4 linked regions of the Cricetulus griseus genome follow. The protein of the gene in region 3 purifies or fractionates together with the protein of the main gene of each other region. This does not show direct contact. Links are inferred from orthologs where the notes say so. Each region holds a gene or a part of one and is shown on either strand. Other genes may lie near its edges. The genes, in order: Rbbp4, Eed, Phf1 and Ezh1.

Region 1 (3,821 bases), on a different chromosome or scaffold from region 3:
TCCTTCTGGATCCACACTTCCTTCAGGGTCTTCATCATTATAAATGTTCTCTGCCTGCCAAAGTGTGAGAAAAGGGTATTTAGCATGAAGACAGTTACTTCTTGACCTTTCCATAATATATTATATTCCATAATATATTATATTCCATAATATATTATGGAAAGGTGCCTGATAACAATGTCCCCAAATAACATTTCAAAGAGGGACTTATAGTTTTAGCCATTCAGTGCTACTGCTGAACTAAAACAGCAACAGACAATGCACGAACGACATGAATCATAAATGGGCACATATGTGTTCAGTGAAAACAAGGAGCAGGCCACAGCTCTGAGTACAGGGCATTTTCACAAAGTATGGACGATCATCATTCCTGAACCCTATAACCAGATATATCACTGGTAATAGCTAAAATATAAACCAGAGGTTTCTATCATATACACAAAGTGATACTTATGACCACACACGCGCCCCTCCGTTGATGAAATATATAAAAGTCTAACACCAAATGTGTGGTTATTTCTCCCACCTCTGGATACTAACTGGGTAACCAAGAACCCTGTCACATCAACAATCATCAACACCAACATCATCTCAGAGAATTGTTGAAACCCCAGATCTGCAGTCTCAGTCCCTCTCTCACACCAAATGGAAGAGATAAACACAGGAGGGAGCAGGGCATTCACACTACTTGTCTCCTGGCAACCAGAATCTGGATTCTCAAACTACCAATTTTTGGTTGTGCCAAGATCACAGGGCAAGCCAAGAGCTTAATCTGCCACCCCACTGGAGAGGCAGAGAGTTTCAAGCGGTCAATTTTTAGCACTTACGCTGACTAGATCATGAGGCTATGTAGGGGTCTCACCAAAACCTTAGTATATGCACATATCCCACAATAGAGGTAGCAACCCCGGAGGGAATCTAGTTCACAACTCTGCAACCTTTTCTTTTGGCCAACCCCCTTTCCCCGCCCCAAGTGCAACCCGGTTTCTCTGTGTAGCTCTGGTTGCCCTTTAACTAAAACTAGGCAGGTAGACTGCTATGAATTAGAGATTCCACACTGAGATCCTTTCTCAAATGAATACAGCAGCAACACAACCCTTTACTGGAGACCAGAGACAGCTCAGTGGTAAAGGGCACTTGTTGCTCTTGCAAAGGATCCAGGTTCAGTTCTTTTTTGTTTTGGCAGGAGTGGGTGGGTGGGGTATTTCTGTGGCTTTGGAGGCTGTCCTGGAACTAGCTCTTGTAGACCAGGCTGGCCTCGAACTCCCAGAGTGCTTGGGATTAGTGGCATGCCCCCCGGCTAACTGTCTCTATTTCTAATACTATTTTTGTATCCCCACCCCCACCCCCGTCATAGTCAGGGTCTTATTCTCACAACAACCTTCCTGCTTGTGCTTCATGACTGTTGAGATTACAGGTAGTATTTTTGAAATCTAATAGGATGATATATAACTAGACCCAGAGGTGAAGAAACTTGAATTCTTGTAGCTGTAACAGGTAAGCAAAGACACACTGGTGCTACAGCATCACAACTATAGTGAGGAGGGCAAAGGGGGAATAAACCACAGTAGATCAGTTTTTATTAGCTAAACTAAAAACAAGCAGTGGGACAATCAGATAAAGGAAAAGTGTAAGCAAGCCGGACAGTGGTGGCGCATGCCTTTAATCCCGGCAATCAGGAGGCAGAGGCAGGCAGATCTCTTGAGTTTGAGGCCATTTTGGTCTACAGAGTTCTAAGACAGCCAGGACAGAGAAGTTGTTCAAAAAGACCAAAAACAGGGGCTGGAGTGATGGCTCAGAGGTTAAGAGCACTGACTAGTCTTCCAGAGGTCCTGAGTTCTGGCTCACAACCATCCGTTATGAGATCTGGTGCCCTCTTCTGGTGTGCAGACATACACGGAAGCAGAATGTTGTTTACATAGTAAATAAAATCTTAAAAAAAAAAAAAAAAAAAATGGCTGGTTGGTGGTGGTGCAGGCCTTTAATCCCAGCACCCAGGAGGCAGAGGGAAGCGGATCTCTGCGAGTCCGAGGCCAGCCTGGTCTCCAGAGAAGAGTGCCAGGATAGGCTCCAAAGCTACACAGAGAAACCCTGCCTCAAAAAAGACCAAAAACAAAACAAAACCAAAGCAACGAACTACCAGAGAAAACTACACATAAAAACACAGCTGAGGAAAACAGGGCAGAGATGGCAGTTGTATCCAAAGTGTGTGAGGTGTGTGAGTAATGATGGCCTCACGTACCTACTGTCCCCTAAATAATGGCCGAACACTTACCATCTGCCACACTTGCATGATATTGTCTTCTGATACAGAACAAATCACCCAAGGTTCATTGGGATTCCAGGAGAAATCAGATATCTTGGCAGTGTGACCACCATGAATAAACTGGAAGAGGGACCAAAACAAATATATTTAAACACAGAACATTAAATCATAGTCCACTATTCAAAACACAGAAGACCCCAAAGTGCCTGAAGGTCTGTAACATACCAACAACTCTGGTGGGCCATCTTCTGCATCTTCTGGGGACTGTTCTTCTCCAATTTTACTTAACAAAAAAGAATTAAGTCAGAAAACATTACCATGTGTGGTAGTTTGAATGTAACTGGCCCCCATAAGCTCACAGGCACTATTAGGAGTTGTGGCCTAAAGAGGTCTCATATATCCAAGACATGCCTAGTTTCTCAGTTAACTTCCTGTTGCCTGCACAAAATGTAGACCTCTAAAGCTACCACTCTAGCACCATGTCTAACCTGCAGAGCTATGTCCCACCATAAAGGACTGAGAACCTCTCAACTGTAAGCTACTTAATTAAACATGGCTGTGGTCATGACTGTTTCTTCACAGAAAAAGAAATCCTAAGACAGCTGAGCACTTATCTTTGAAAAAATGTGAAGACAGCAACTTTGCCAGGCTTAGTGACACTTGGAGGTAGAGAAATGAATTTCTCAGAGTTTGAGGTCAATATACAGATTGAGCTCTAGATCAGGGCCACATGAAACTGTCTCCTCGAAACAAACAAACAAACAAACAAACAAACAAAAAACCCCAAACCAACAAACCAGTAACCAACACAAAACTCACCTTAAATCCCAGACATTCAGCCTACGGTCAGTACCACTAGAAGCCAAAATAGTCTCGTTGTGAGGTGACCATTGAACCTATATCCAAGAGTCAACAAAGATGCAACCAATTAGAAATAGAAGGGGAAAATATCTCAAATTATATCCTACAAAACTTTGTAAATAAAAGGCAGTGAATACTGCTAAAACTTACAGATATTTCTCTCTTCACAGGGTTTCTCTATGGCTTTGGAGCCTGTCCTGGCACTTGCTTTATAGACCAGGCTGGCCTTGAACTCAGAGATCAGCCTGCCTTTGCTTCCCAGGTGCTGGGACTAAAGGCTTGCGCCACCACTGCCTGGACAGCTACTACTATACCCCAAAGATTCCTTATAATGATGTTAGGTAAAAGATAACCACACACACAAAACTATCACAAATCCTGTGGCTGTTAAGAAAGTGCTGGTTTGCTGGGTAGTGGTGGCACACACCTTTAATCCCAGCACTTTGAAAGCAGAGGCAGGAGGCTCCTTGTGAGTTCAAGGCCAGCCTGATCCACAGAATGAGTTTGCAGGACAGCTAGGACTGTTAAACAGAGATATCCTGACTTGAAGAAGAAGAAAAAAAGAAAGAAAAAAAAATGTTAGTTTATGGCATTATTGACTAATGGGTTAGGGAAGAATTTAGATATTCTTCAAGCAAGACCATCACTACCACTACCACCAAGAGAAAGGAAATAGGACAATGACAAAACAGTC
Region 2 (3,821 bases), on a different chromosome or scaffold from region 3:
CATACCCAGGGTTTGGGGTTCAAGCTCCAGCCTGAAATAAAAAGGCAAACATCCCCCTCCCCTTACACCTATAATCTCAGTACTTGGGGATAGAGGGGATGTGAAGCAAGAGGACTGCCTTGAGTTCAAGGCCAACCTGGGCTATCATCTAGAATCTATCTATCTAGGGGGAGAGGGAAAGAGGGAGGAGAGGGAGAGGGGGAGGGAGAGGGGGAGAGAGAGGGAGAGGAGAGAGAGAGAGAAGAGAGAGAGAGAGAGAGAGAGAGAGAGAGAGAGAGAGAGAGAGAGAGTGAACAGTAGTGATACCACAGCCTTTAATCCCAGCACTCCAGGAGGCAGGGACAGACTAAGTTCGAGCCTGATCTACAAAGCTACACAGAGAAGCCCTGTCTCCCAAAACCAAATCAAACAACTCACCTTTTGAAAATCCTAACATGGTGATACGTCATTCAAAGTGAAAAAGCAATGTGATTTTTTTCTTTTTTTTTTTGGGGGGGGGGAGTAAAGTTCTTGAACTATCTCTGTATAAAGTGAGGTTTGTTCTCTGGTCTTGGTTCATGAGATACTAATATAGGCTATTTTTTCCCTATTAAAACCTTTTTTCTTTTAATTTTGATTATTTCCCCTTAGAACACAACCTGTCTCTTTAAAATAATTATTCCGAAACAATCTGAACTAAAGAAACATTTGTTTCTGTAAGCTTACCTTTACTTACTGACAGGAGAAGATTTGGGTCTCGTGGGTGGAATTTCAGCTCATTGATAGCATTTCCATGGCCAACATAGTGCTACAATAAATTTAAAACATTTTTTTTCATATCTCAAAAACAAAACAAAACAAAACAAACAACAACAACAAAAAAAAACAATTCTCTTTCATAAACCATAAGAGAAAAAAGGCTGGGGATACAGCTCAGTGGTAGATCACTACCCTAGTGTACTCAAGGCCCAAGGTTCAGTGTCCAGCAAAGCTGCCAAACAAACTTCCACTTAAAGTTCTTCTCACCTTTGGCTATACACTAAAATTGCCCAACAAATTTAGAGAAAGGAAAATGGGACCAATTTGTCACCACTCAGCTAACAGCATTGCTTAAGTGAGCCCCAGGTTACAAACAGCAACATCTAAAGCCTGCCTTTTTATCAGCTTCCTTGGCTTTACCTTTCTGTCTCTTACAGGGTCCCCTGGAACCCACAATTCTTGATTTGGGTCCCTTGGGAAAAGTGGTTATTTTTCAGTTAAAAATGTCCAAAGCAATCACAAGAAAACCCACAGAATCAACTAACCTGGGCTGATAGGAGCTCAGAGTCTGAAACAACAATCAGGAGCCTGTATAGGAATGATGCAGGCCCTCTGAATGTATTTGAATTGTATAGCTTGGTCTTCTTGTGGCACTCCTAACAGTGGGAGCAGAGGCTGTCTCCTTGGCTGGATTTTGGGTCCCTATTCCTCACAATGAGTAGCTTTGCCCAGCCTTAACGCAAGGGGAGGTCCTTGGTCTTACTGCAACTTGATGTGCCATGTTTTGTTGCTATTCATGGGAGTCCTGACCATTTCTGAACAGAATTAGAGGAGGAGTAGATAGGTGGGTGGAGGGAGGCTGGGAGGAAAGAAGGGAGGGAGGGGAAACTTCAGTTGGGATGTAAAATAAATAAATTTTTTAAGGTGCTCAAAGCAAGGGAAGGAGAGAAATTAAAAAATGGTGGGTATTGGAGCTGGGCAGTGGTGGCACACACCTTTTATCCCAGCACTAGCGAGGCAGGGGAGGGTGGATCTCTTTGAGTTTGAGGCCAGCCTGGTCTACAAAGATACACAGAGGGGGAAGGAAAAAAAAAGGTAAGTATTAACACTTTCCTATGTATTCCTTAATTTACATCCTCTAATTGTCACAGAAGTTTCAAAGGACTACTCTAAAGAAAGTAACGGATTAGCAAGATGGCTTAGCATGTAAAGGTGCTGGCTGGCATCCCTGAAAGCCGAATTGGGTCTTTAGGACACACACAGATGAAGATGGGAACTGACACCTCTGACCTCATCCACGTATACACACTCATGTACCTGCTCCATACACCCAAGTGAATAAATGCAGTAAAGGAGAAACAATAAGCAAGGCATAAATCAAATCAAATTGACTACATTAGTTTTAAAGTCATTCCATGAAGTTGTAGCCTGAGTATTCAAAAACAGCCAATCTACAATTTGACCAAAGACCCACCTTTATACACTGCATCGTTATGGGATTAATTATCCTTATTATGCCTCTAGACCCAGCAACAGCAAGTAGAGGGTGGCTGGTGTTGCTATCATAGGTCCATGCACAAGTATAAAAGTTTTCATCTGCCTAAGAAATGCCAGTTAAGAGATATAATTTATTTTGAAAAATAAACACGTTAATATTTACAATAAACAGAACCTTCTAAACAACAGCTAAAGTTTTAATTATTCATTTTTCTTTATACAAAATTTGCACGGTGATACCCAGGTGTCCCAGGAGTCAAGAGGCAGAAGCTGGAGGGTTTTCTTAAACTAAAATCCAGCTAGGGCTACTCAGCAAGGCCCTATTCTCAAAAATAAATAATATTCACAGTGGCAGCACTTTTAGGTTTAAAATCCATTACCAAATAAGCTCTCTCCTTGCACACTTCTCTTTAGCTGCCTGTAGAACTATTCCCCTCCACTGGAGTACTGCCAAAGCAGCAAGGAAGAGCAGCTCAGCATAGGCATAACTGTTCTTCAGTAAAACATTATTTACAAAGCTGGGTAGTGAGACTGCAGGCTTTACTTCGCTGACCCTTTGTCCTGATAGTGCTATGAACCTATAAATGGTTCATTTCCCACCATCCTAACATGGCAACTGTTCACTCGTTTCCATGTTATCTACAGATTCAGTGCTGCCCCCAGCCTTCACTTTCTGTATTTTTTCAAATGGATCTGGAAGAAACATCTCATCACTCAGCCTTTTAAAACTCCTTAAAAACAAAAATAAATAAATAAATAAACCCTTGGGCTTTTAAATTAAGATCTTCCTTTTCTTCATAACTCACTCTTCAATAATTTCCTAAATTACCCACACTTATTTTTTCCATCTCAGCTTTTTTGATCAGATACTTAGAATGACTGCCAGCTATGTATTAAATTACACTGGGGGCGCTGGAGAGATGGCTCAGCAGTTAAGAGCACTGGCTGCTCTTCCAGAGGTCCTGAGTTCAACTTCCAGCACCCACATGGTGGCTCACAACCATCTGTAATGAGATCTGGTGCCCTCTTCTGGCCTGCAGGCAGACATGCAAGCAAAAAACTCTATATACAATAATAAAATAAATCTTAAAAAAAACAAAACAAAAAAAAAAACACTACACTGAAATTGTAAAATTCTAGGCTTAGCTGGTCCCTGCTGACAATTTCTACCATGGATTTCTAATGGTCCCAACTCCACTCGTCTTGTACCCACCATCACATTCACCTCATGACAAATTCAAGATCAGGTACATGAGATACTAGGATTGATCCCCTTGGGTAACAATGATAATATTCCTAGCTAAAGAAAGATAGGACAGTATATTTGTAGTTTGAGGCAAGCCCGGTCTACAGAGCTACACAGAGGAAACCCCGTCTCGGGAAAAAAAAAAGTTTTAGTGTACTTATCAAACTCAATGTTTTAAACCATACAAAAGCAGCGAGAGAAGGATACATCAGCATCTACATAGGACTGCAATAACCGGATTTCCCCTTGTGAATGGCACTCATATAAGGTAACCTAAAGAAACAAAAATATGCATATCATTTCAGAGAAAGAAACATTCTCTGACTCTTAAAACATTCTA
Region 3 (4,507 bases):
AGGACCAGGTGGGCCACATCCACCCTGGAGAGGCAGGAAGGCAGCAGCGCATATGAGAGTCAAACAGCGGGGAACAGGAAGGAAGGAAGGAAGGAAGGAAGGAAGGAAGGAAGGAAGGAAGGAAGGAAGGAAGGCACAATCCATCTCACCAGCGAAGCTGTAACCTCCGGACCTTCTCAGGGCCACCCCGGCACACACAGCATTCAAATTCATAGAATCTGGACATGAGGACAGAGAACGCACCTCGTTCAACTCTACAAGTGGTAGACAGCGAACGCTGGGAGGCCTGGGCGTGGGTGGAGCACAGCAGGCGGGCGCCCTGGGCTTCCTGGACAGCCTCCTTTGGGCTCACCTGTCTCCGTAGAGGAGGGGCTTGCTCAGACACTGGGTGCAGGCCTCGTGGAACCACTGGAGACAGCTCCGACACTGCAGCATTTTCAGGTTCCACCTCAGGGGAAGACAGCCTGCCTGAGACCACCCTGAACCCTCACCCACCTCCCATCACCTCGGGGCTCCCCTCAGCCTGCCCCTTCCCCTTTATTCCAGGCTCTACCACCACAGCGTCCACCCCAGAACTCAGCACCCCCACCACTCACTCCCCGGGGCCTCCACAGTAACAGTAGCTCTGCTGTCGGTTGCTCAAGTGCCCGGCGTCCCAGTCCAGCCCCTTTAGTCCATACGGCAGACAGAGCTTCATGCCCAGCATGGCCCGGGCATAGGGGCCCTTCTTCAGGGCGCCCCCCCTCTGCAGAGGAACAGGTGGAAACCTCAGAGAGGCAGGAGAGAAGGGGCCATGGGAGGCTCCCATAGGAAGTGGCAGAGAGGTGCCTTTACCTTGGTGGCAATCGCAAAGACACACTGGCGGCAGACCCAGGATGTGCCCTCTCCTTCTCCAGGGGCTGGGGCCCTGGGAACGTGACAGTCCTGGTGATAAGCTGAATAAGGACAATGTTGAGAGTCAAACACTGTGTGCGCACCTGCATTGGCTTGGTGCTCGTACACGGCAGCCTTCCCTTGTGCGTTTATATCCTGACCATGGTCCTACTGTGTGTGTGTGTGTGTGTGTGTGTGTGTGTGTGTGTGTGTGTGTGGTGTGTGTTTGGTGGGGGGGCTGGAGAGATGGCTCAGAGGTTAAGAGCACTGGCTGCTCTTCCAGAGGTCCTAAGTTCAATTCCCAGCAACCACATGGTGGCTCACAACCATCTGTAGTGACATCTGGTACCCTTTTCTGGCCTGAAGTTGTACATGCAGGCAGAACACTGTATAATAAATAAACAAATCTTTAAAAGACAGAGAGAGAGAGAGAGAGAGAGAGAGAGAGAGAGAGAGAGTGAGAGGTATGTAGCTACCCTCAACCTTAGAGAGAGAGAGAGATGTATGTAGCTACCCTCAACCTTGCATGGCTTATGTCATCTTCATCCTATGGCTCCCTCTCCCTGTACTGAGATGAGGTGACAGGGTGAAGACTGGCCAAGATAGGAGACACAAGACCCATGCTAGGAAGACAACTGGCAATCCAGAAGACCCAGGGCAAACTGTACCATTCAAGTATCCTGCCCTCTCCTCTCACCATGACGACACTTCTCACAGCTGACCAGCCGGTTCCCAGGGACCACCGTCTCAGAGCGACAGACACAGCAGAGGAGCTCCTCCCCAGGGAGGGCAGCTGTGAGGGACAAGGTGTCAGGTGGCTTACTTCAGCCAGTGTCCCCCACACCCTCCAGCTTCTGCAGTTATGAAGGGTCTCACCCGGGCTGATGTCCTTCCATAGAACCAGAAACTGGGAATCATCCTCAAACTGGACCAGACACACCTCCCGAGCACTGTCCACCTGGAGTGGGTGAGCAAAGATTATAAAGTGGGAGCAGGAATCAGAGGGAGAGGATCCATGGTGGGGCCCAGAGTTGGCTCTTACCTTTTTGATGGTGCCTAAATACAGCAGCCCATCGGTCCACCTAGCCAGCACGTCTTGACCCTCCCAAAGTCGAGGTCTAGGGCCTGAGGTGGGAGCAGGGGAAGCTGGATCCCAAAGAGAGGGTGCACCCAAGCGGCTCAGCCGGGGGAGCTGCGCCATTGCATCCTGGGAGGGGCTAATCAGATACGATGGAAGAGTTTATGAATGTTAAGAAGGCTTGGCTGCTCTGTCTGCTTTTACTGTCAAGGATAAGGGACCAAGCACCTCCAAGCTCAGTCACTGAATCCTTTAGACACCTAAGGAGGTGGGTCACCCTGGTCCCCAGCCTGGTTCTCTAGCATCCCAGCTCCCTGGGGCCTTAGGGGAAAAGATGCTTTCAGAGCCAAGGTTACCATTCATTCAGTTTCGCCTTTCCCAGCTGTTTAGAGGTATCCTAACTGGGACGCTCGGTTGCCCAGAGATATTTTGGGAGCTTTTCTGGAGATGTTTCCCTGAGTAGAGACATCCGCCTCCCCAGGCCTGTGTGTCTCATTTAGAACCGCTGTCCTGGTGCCAGGTTATGTTAGGTCACCCTCAAATTTGAGGCTGCTTGCCCTGGGATTAGATAACTTCCCCGAGTGCCCCAGGAGGGGGGCGTGTCCCTGTCCAGGTCTCCGCTACCCTACACCGCCGGTCTGAGGAGGGACTCGAGTCCCCCCAGCCCGGATCCTAAGCCGGTGCCAAGAGGCTCTCCTGCCCCCTGCTGAGCATCGACCCCCGGCCCCCTCCCTGCCCCCGCTCAGGGCCTCCCGCCTCCTTCTTACCGGTGACAGCTGGGTCAGCAGGGAGCCAGCTAGGGGCAGACCCCAGAGCCCTAGGGGCGCGAGCCCCGGCGCGGGCGGAGTGCGTGCGGACGCCGAGGGCGTGCAGGAGGAGGCCGGGGGTCCCGGGGCCCAGCCCCTCCGTCCTAGCGGCTCTGGGGCGTATGACGCAGCAGCCAAAGCAGCGGCGGCGGCGGCGGGAGGAGTCGGCCGCGGGAGGGCGGGAGGGAGGAGTAGTGGGTGGGGAGCACCAGAGGGAGGAGAAGCCGGAGGGGCGGACAGGCAGCACCTCCCTCACCCCCGGCAGGCCCCGAGGGCACCGCACGGCTGGGGGCGCGGCCGGCCGGGCAGGACGAGGGGACCCCTGCAGCCCCCTTTCCGGACGGGAGGCTCGCCCCGGGAGCGGCAGGAAATAACCCTGCTGGCAGCCAGCCTGCAGGTCAGGGCCCAGCCCCGCCCCATGCCACATCCGTTAGCTGCCCCGCCCCCGTGGCCACTCCAAGCCCCGCCTCCGCACGCGGCCCCGCCCTCCCCATTCACACTTCCTGTCGCCCCGCCCTTCTGCGCACGCGCGGCCCCGCCTGGGCGCTGCACCTGGGCAGACAGCCACACCTCCTGCCGCGGGAGCCCGGTGCGGCTGCGCTCCTCCCTCCCGGGCGGGCAGGCGAGCGAGCGGGCCAGGGCCGGCGAGCGGGCGAGCCAGGGCGGCAGGGCCAGCACCCAGCCGGTGACGTGCCCACAGCCAGCCAATGGGCAGCGGGCGGCAGGGAACCGTAGTTCCAAGCGGTGGGCAGGCAGAGGGAGGGGATGCGGATCGAGCGCGCTGGGACTCACACCAGGCCCGGTGTGGCAGCTATGGGTGCAACACCCGCGCTGAAGGACAGCCAAGTGAGAGCCCAACAGAGAAAAGCCCATAGCCTCACTGTGCAAAGCACACGTCAGAAGCCACACTTCTGCAAGCTTACGGTATTTGTTTACAACCTACCAGGACTAACAAGACCTTTATTTAAGAGCCGTAACAAGGGCTGCAGAGATGGCTCGTCGTTAAGAGCACTGACTGCTTTTGCAGAGAACCCACAGTCGCTCACAGCCATCCATCAGACCAGGTCCAGAGGACCTGAAGCCAGCCCTCTTCTGAACTCAAGAAGCACCAGGCATACACATGGCGCACATGTACACACACCCAGGCAAAACAACCATGCGTAAAGTCTACAACAAAATTTCTTTATTTGATAGTTGGGTACAAATGATGTCCACCCAATAAAAGCGTATCTCTCACCCCCCTCTCCCCCCCAGTACACACAGAGAGAGACACAATCAACCCAGCGGCAGCGGAACCAGGCTCTGGCCATCTTCACTTCTTATTAGCCTGAGCAGTACCGATAACACACTGGTTCACCTGTGGACCAAGAAGGTTATACAAGATCAGCGTTGGTCCATCTACCCCAGCTCCAATGCTGGGGCCGCCCTCCAAAATATTGAAATAAGGGCTGTTGAAAGTAGGCTCGGCCTGGTTCCCGCCCCTAAGCATAGTTGTCTTATATCCACTAGTAGGCCTGGAAGAGGTCAGAAGTCTAGAGATGAAGCCCTGGTTTTATGTCAACTCCACACAGGCTACCTCTCTCTCTCTCCTCTTTTTTTTTTTGGTTTTTCAAGACAGGGTTTCTCTGTGGCTTTGGAGCCTATCCTGGAACTATTTCTTGTAGACCAGGTTGGCCTTGAACTCACAGAGATCCTCCTGCCTCTGCCTCCTAAGTGCTGGGATTAAAGGTGTGCGTCACCAACGCCCGGC
Region 4 (3,821 bases), on a different chromosome or scaffold from region 3:
CTGTCTGGTTTTTCTTTTGAGTTTCTAGCCAGTAGGACATGGCTGGCCTGTAACTCTACACTAGGATTGTTTCCCCTTCTTGGGTGGCGACTCTCTTCCCCACTTATCACCTCTCAGGAGTTTGTTCCTTTTTTTTTTTTATCTAGATATTTATATGTGTTGTTTTTCAGAATCACATAACTGTGTATATGGATTGGAAGTTGAAGAAAGTTTAGTAGCTAGACATGGTTAATCCCAGTACTCAAGAGGCAGAGGCAGAGGCAGATGGGCCTCTGTGAGTTCAATGCCAGTCTGTTCTACATAGTGTCAGGCCAGGCAGGGCTACATAGTGAGACCCTGTCTGAAAATAAAACTATCACTCTGACAGACAGCCAGATTCCCTGATGTGTATTGGTAGCCAGGGAAGGGAGGTGGCTCTAGCTCCAGATACAAAAGCTGTTCTGTCTCTTTCCTGTCAGTTTCCTCACTGAAAGACTTTCCCACCTTAGAGCTCTGGCAAAGAGAACGAAGGAAAAGGAAGGAGCAATAGGAAGGAAAAGGAAGGAGCAATAGTGTGATAAGAGACAAGTTTGTGAGTTTTTGCTTTGTTAGACAGGCTCTAGATTCAGCCGACCAAAGTAGGTGCCTCCTTCTAAGGAACTCTGGAAGGGTACCTCAAAGTTGTCAAACTGTCCCTCAGAGCAGGGCACACTGTCATTTGTCTGCATCTACAGAGGATCGGGATTCAGACCTATCCCGTCTCTCTCTCCTAGGTTGTGGGCCGCACACTGCAGGAAAATTCAGCTGAAGAAAGGTGAGTTCAGTGGGAGAAAGGCCCCCACTTAGAGTAGAGTGTGTTCTTAGCGTGTTCAAGATTATAGGCTCCATCCTAGGCACATGCGCACATGCGCTCACATACACAGGTACACACAGTTCAGACTGAAGCCTCACCCTGTGGTTTTCACCCTGCCACACCTATAGCTCTCTTGTTGACCCTGGCTGCTTCTGCAGATTGCAGATTTCTTTGCAGCGTCTCAAGGGCTGAGCCAGTGGCTACAGCTAAGATGCCCTCTCAGGAGATAAACTTAAGGCCTTGTGGTCTCTTAAGTTTCCTAGTGTGCTGTTTGCCAGTGCCAGACCTCTTTTCATGTTTAGAGTAGCTGCCTTGTTATCTCTGGCCTTCTCCACACCCTACCCACAAAGCAGATATCTCACATGTTTATGTACAGGGGTCAGCTACTTTATCAGGTGCTAAGTGTGTCTAAAGTCATGATTAGGACAAGCTTACTTTGACTTGGGGCACTGGAACATTTGGAGAGTAGGGCATCAAGGGAGCCTGGTCATAGCAGTGTCCTTCTCTATTCTCTTCTAGATAACTCTTCTACACAGGTGTATAACTACCAACCCTGTGACCACCCAGACCGTCCCTGTGACAGCACCTGCCCCTGCATCATGACCCAGAATTTCTGTGAGAAGTTCTGCCAGTGCAGCCCAGACTGTAAGAGCACCCTGCTTTCACCATCGTCTACCAAAGTGGTTGGCCTTGGAGTCTCCAGGCTCCCTTCTGCCCCATAGCTGCCTGTAGACCTTTGATATCCCTTTGCTATGGTTCAGGCATCCTACAGGGCAGGAAGGTGTGAGCCACTGAAAAGTTGTGGGGGTTGGTTAGTCTATTTTTAATTTTAAAACATTATTTTATTGTTTTATGTATATGAGCGTTTTGCCTACATGTATGTCTGCATTGTGGGCATACCTGTTGTCCAAGGAAGTCAGAAAAGGGAGTCAGATCTCTTGGAACTAGAGTCACAGACAGTGTGAGCCACTGTGTGGGTGCTGGGAATCAATCCCAGGTCCTCTGGAAGAGCAGCCAGTTCCCCATGCTGATAAGCCATCACTCTAACCCCTGTTCTACTGTATAAAAGCACCCCAACTCCTGGGCTCTCAAAGTCTCTCCTTGCTCTCCCAACTCTTCCCCTTTCTCCCCTCCCCACTCTCTATATTTTCAAGCAGTTTTCCTTTCTCCACAGCTTAGATAGCTGAGGTTACAGGGATGTGCCACTTTTCCCAGCTGTGAAAGTCAGGTGGGGAGTCTGGAAATAGGAACTAGATATGATGCTTCTCCCATCTTCTCCTTTTAGGGAGAACTGAGAAACAGGAGTTTTTCCTACGATGCATTCACAGTCTCCTCTTTCTTTAGGATGTTGTTTTTAAAAAGTGTTAGGGCTGGAGAGGTGGCTCAGTGGTTAAAAGCACTTTCTGCTCTTCCAAAGGACCTGAGTTTGGTTCCCCGCATCCGTGGTAGGCAGCTCACAACCATGTGTAATTTCAGTTCAAGGAGACACCTGACACTTCTGTCCTCGGGCATCCGCACACACTTGGCATACACATACATATAAATAAATAAAAATAAAAGTGGGAAAAAAAGGTTATATGGGTTGAGCATGGTAGTATGTAACTAACTAGGTCTGGAATTCTACTCTGGGAGTCTGAGGCAGGAGGATCAGAGTTCAAGGCCAACCTGTGCTACTAATGAAATCATGTTTCCACAACCGCTATCACCTGCAGATTTGTTTATCTGGATGCAGTGTTACCTACCTACCTACCTACATACATACATATCTCTAGCATTGCAAGAAAGGCAGGTGAATCACTTGGACCTAGACTAAAACCCTGCCTCACAAGAGGGGGAAGAGGGGGAAAGAGAAAAAAGAAGGAGGGCTGGTGAGGTGGTTCAGCAGGTAAAGGCAGCAAAACAAACTTGCCAGGAAGCCTGGCTTAGATCCCTGGAACCACATGATGGACAGAGAGAACTGCTTCCTGCGTTGTCTGTCCTCTTATCTCCACACACGTGAATGGCAGGGTGTGTCTACATCTCTGTACACACCCACTAAATACATAGAATTTTTGTAAAAGTTTGAAGAAAAGAAAAAGAATATACACAGCGAAGTCTTTTGGGATTTTGAGAATTTTTGATAACCCAGGCCTAACCTTGAACTCCTCATCCTCCTGCCCCTACCTCTCAGCTTCTGGAATTACGGGCATGTGCCACCACAGCGGACCCATATAGAGAATTCCTCATGTTTGTGTAATAGCTGAAGACTGAGTGGTTGTGGTTCTAGGGGTTGCACCTATGACTCTACTCTGTTTATACTCTACTCTGTCTATACTCACTCCAGCTAGAGTTCTTTAGAACACATTTTTCCCCCACAAATATTAATTGAGCTGGGTAAAGAGCCTTTATTTCAACATACTAGCTAGAGTTTATTTTGTTGTTATTTTTTGTTTTGTTTTGAGACAGGGTTTCACTATGCAGTCCTGGGTGGCCTTAAATTCACAGAGATCTACCTGCCTCTGCCTCTAGAGTACTGGGATTATTGACGTGTGCCACCATACTTAGCTGAGGAGTTAGACTATCTCGTAGAAGGAGCTGGAATGGGTAAAAGTGCTTGTAGAAAACTCTGGGTTCCCAGCACCCATATCAGGCAGCTTAGAAGGAAATAACAGCTTTAGCTCCAAGGGATCTGATGCCACCTTTTGGCTTCCAAGGGCTCTTGCACTCAGGTGCACATAGTCACCCACAGATATACACACATAATTAAAATTAAAAATCAGTATGTTAGGGCCTGAAGAGATGGCTAAGTGGTCAAAAGCAGAAAACCTGGGTTCTGTTCCTGGCACCCTCACAACTGCTGTGACTATAGCTCAGAGAGATCTAACACTGCCTTCTGGCCTCTGTGGACCCGCTACACACATAAGTAATAAGCATGTACATACGTAAGTAATAAGTGTGCACATACATACATATCTACTAAGAGACAGGAGTCTGGGGGTTAGTAGAAAAG

The links.
Region 1: the proteins of Phf1 (region 3) and Rbbp4 purify together in Homo sapiens (affinity purification with mass spectrometry; 5 studies listed by BioGRID and IntAct, with this or other methods). This does not show direct contact. The link is inferred for Cricetulus griseus from reciprocal best matches to the Homo sapiens genes PHF1 and RBBP4.
Region 2: the proteins of Phf1 (region 3) and Eed purify together in Homo sapiens (affinity purification with mass spectrometry; 8 studies listed by BioGRID and IntAct, with this or other methods). This does not show direct contact. The link is inferred for Cricetulus griseus from reciprocal best matches to the Homo sapiens genes PHF1 and EED.
Region 4: the proteins of Phf1 (region 3) and Ezh1 purify together in Homo sapiens (affinity purification with mass spectrometry; 5 studies listed by BioGRID and IntAct, with this or other methods). This does not show direct contact. The link is inferred for Cricetulus griseus from reciprocal best matches to the Homo sapiens genes PHF1 and EZH1.

What each region holds. Positions count from the first base shown.
Region 1 is NC_048595.1:23,714,912-23,718,732, reverse strand, and holds part of Rbbp4 (histone-binding protein RBBP4), read right to left. Parts: intron 3,163-3,821; coding exon 3,086-3,162; intron 2,550-3,085; coding exon 2,492-2,549; intron 2,387-2,491; coding exon 2,276-2,386; intron 55-2,275; coding exon 1-54. UniProt on the Homo sapiens protein: Core histone-binding subunit that may target chromatin assembly factors, chromatin remodeling factors and histone deacetylases to their histone substrates in a manner that is regulated by nucleosomal DNA.
Region 2 is NC_048596.1:109,139,826-109,143,646, reverse strand, and holds part of Eed (polycomb protein EED), read right to left. Parts: intron 3,755-3,821; coding exon 3,689-3,754; intron 2,339-3,688; coding exon 2,213-2,338; intron 788-2,212; coding exon 706-787; intron 1-705. UniProt on the Homo sapiens protein: Polycomb group (PcG) protein. Component of the PRC2/EED-EZH2 complex, which methylates 'Lys-9' and 'Lys-27' of histone H3, leading to transcriptional repression of the affected target gene.
Region 3 is NW_023276806.1:232,130,576-232,135,082, reverse strand, and holds the start of Phf1 (PHD finger protein 1), read right to left. Parts: upstream 2,878-4,507; 5' UTR 2,719-2,877; intron 2,091-2,718; 5' UTR 2,075-2,090; coding exon 1,916-2,074; intron 1,832-1,915; coding exon 1,750-1,831; intron 1,667-1,749; coding exon 1,571-1,666; intron 936-1,570; coding exon 835-935; intron 746-834; coding exon 597-745; intron 449-596; coding exon 353-448; intron 219-352; coding exon 150-218; intron 25-149; coding exon 1-24. Other genes in the region: kinesin-like protein KIFC1, read right to left, coding at 4,070-4,114. UniProt on the Homo sapiens protein: Polycomb group (PcG) that specifically binds histone H3 trimethylated at 'Lys-36' (H3K36me3) and recruits the PRC2 complex. Involved in DNA damage response and is recruited at double-strand breaks (DSBs).
Region 4 is NC_048600.1:114,246,672-114,250,492, reverse strand, and holds part of Ezh1 (histone-lysine N-methyltransferase EZH1), read left to right. Parts: intron 1-752; coding exon 753-793; intron 794-1,351; coding exon 1,352-1,477; intron 1,478-3,821.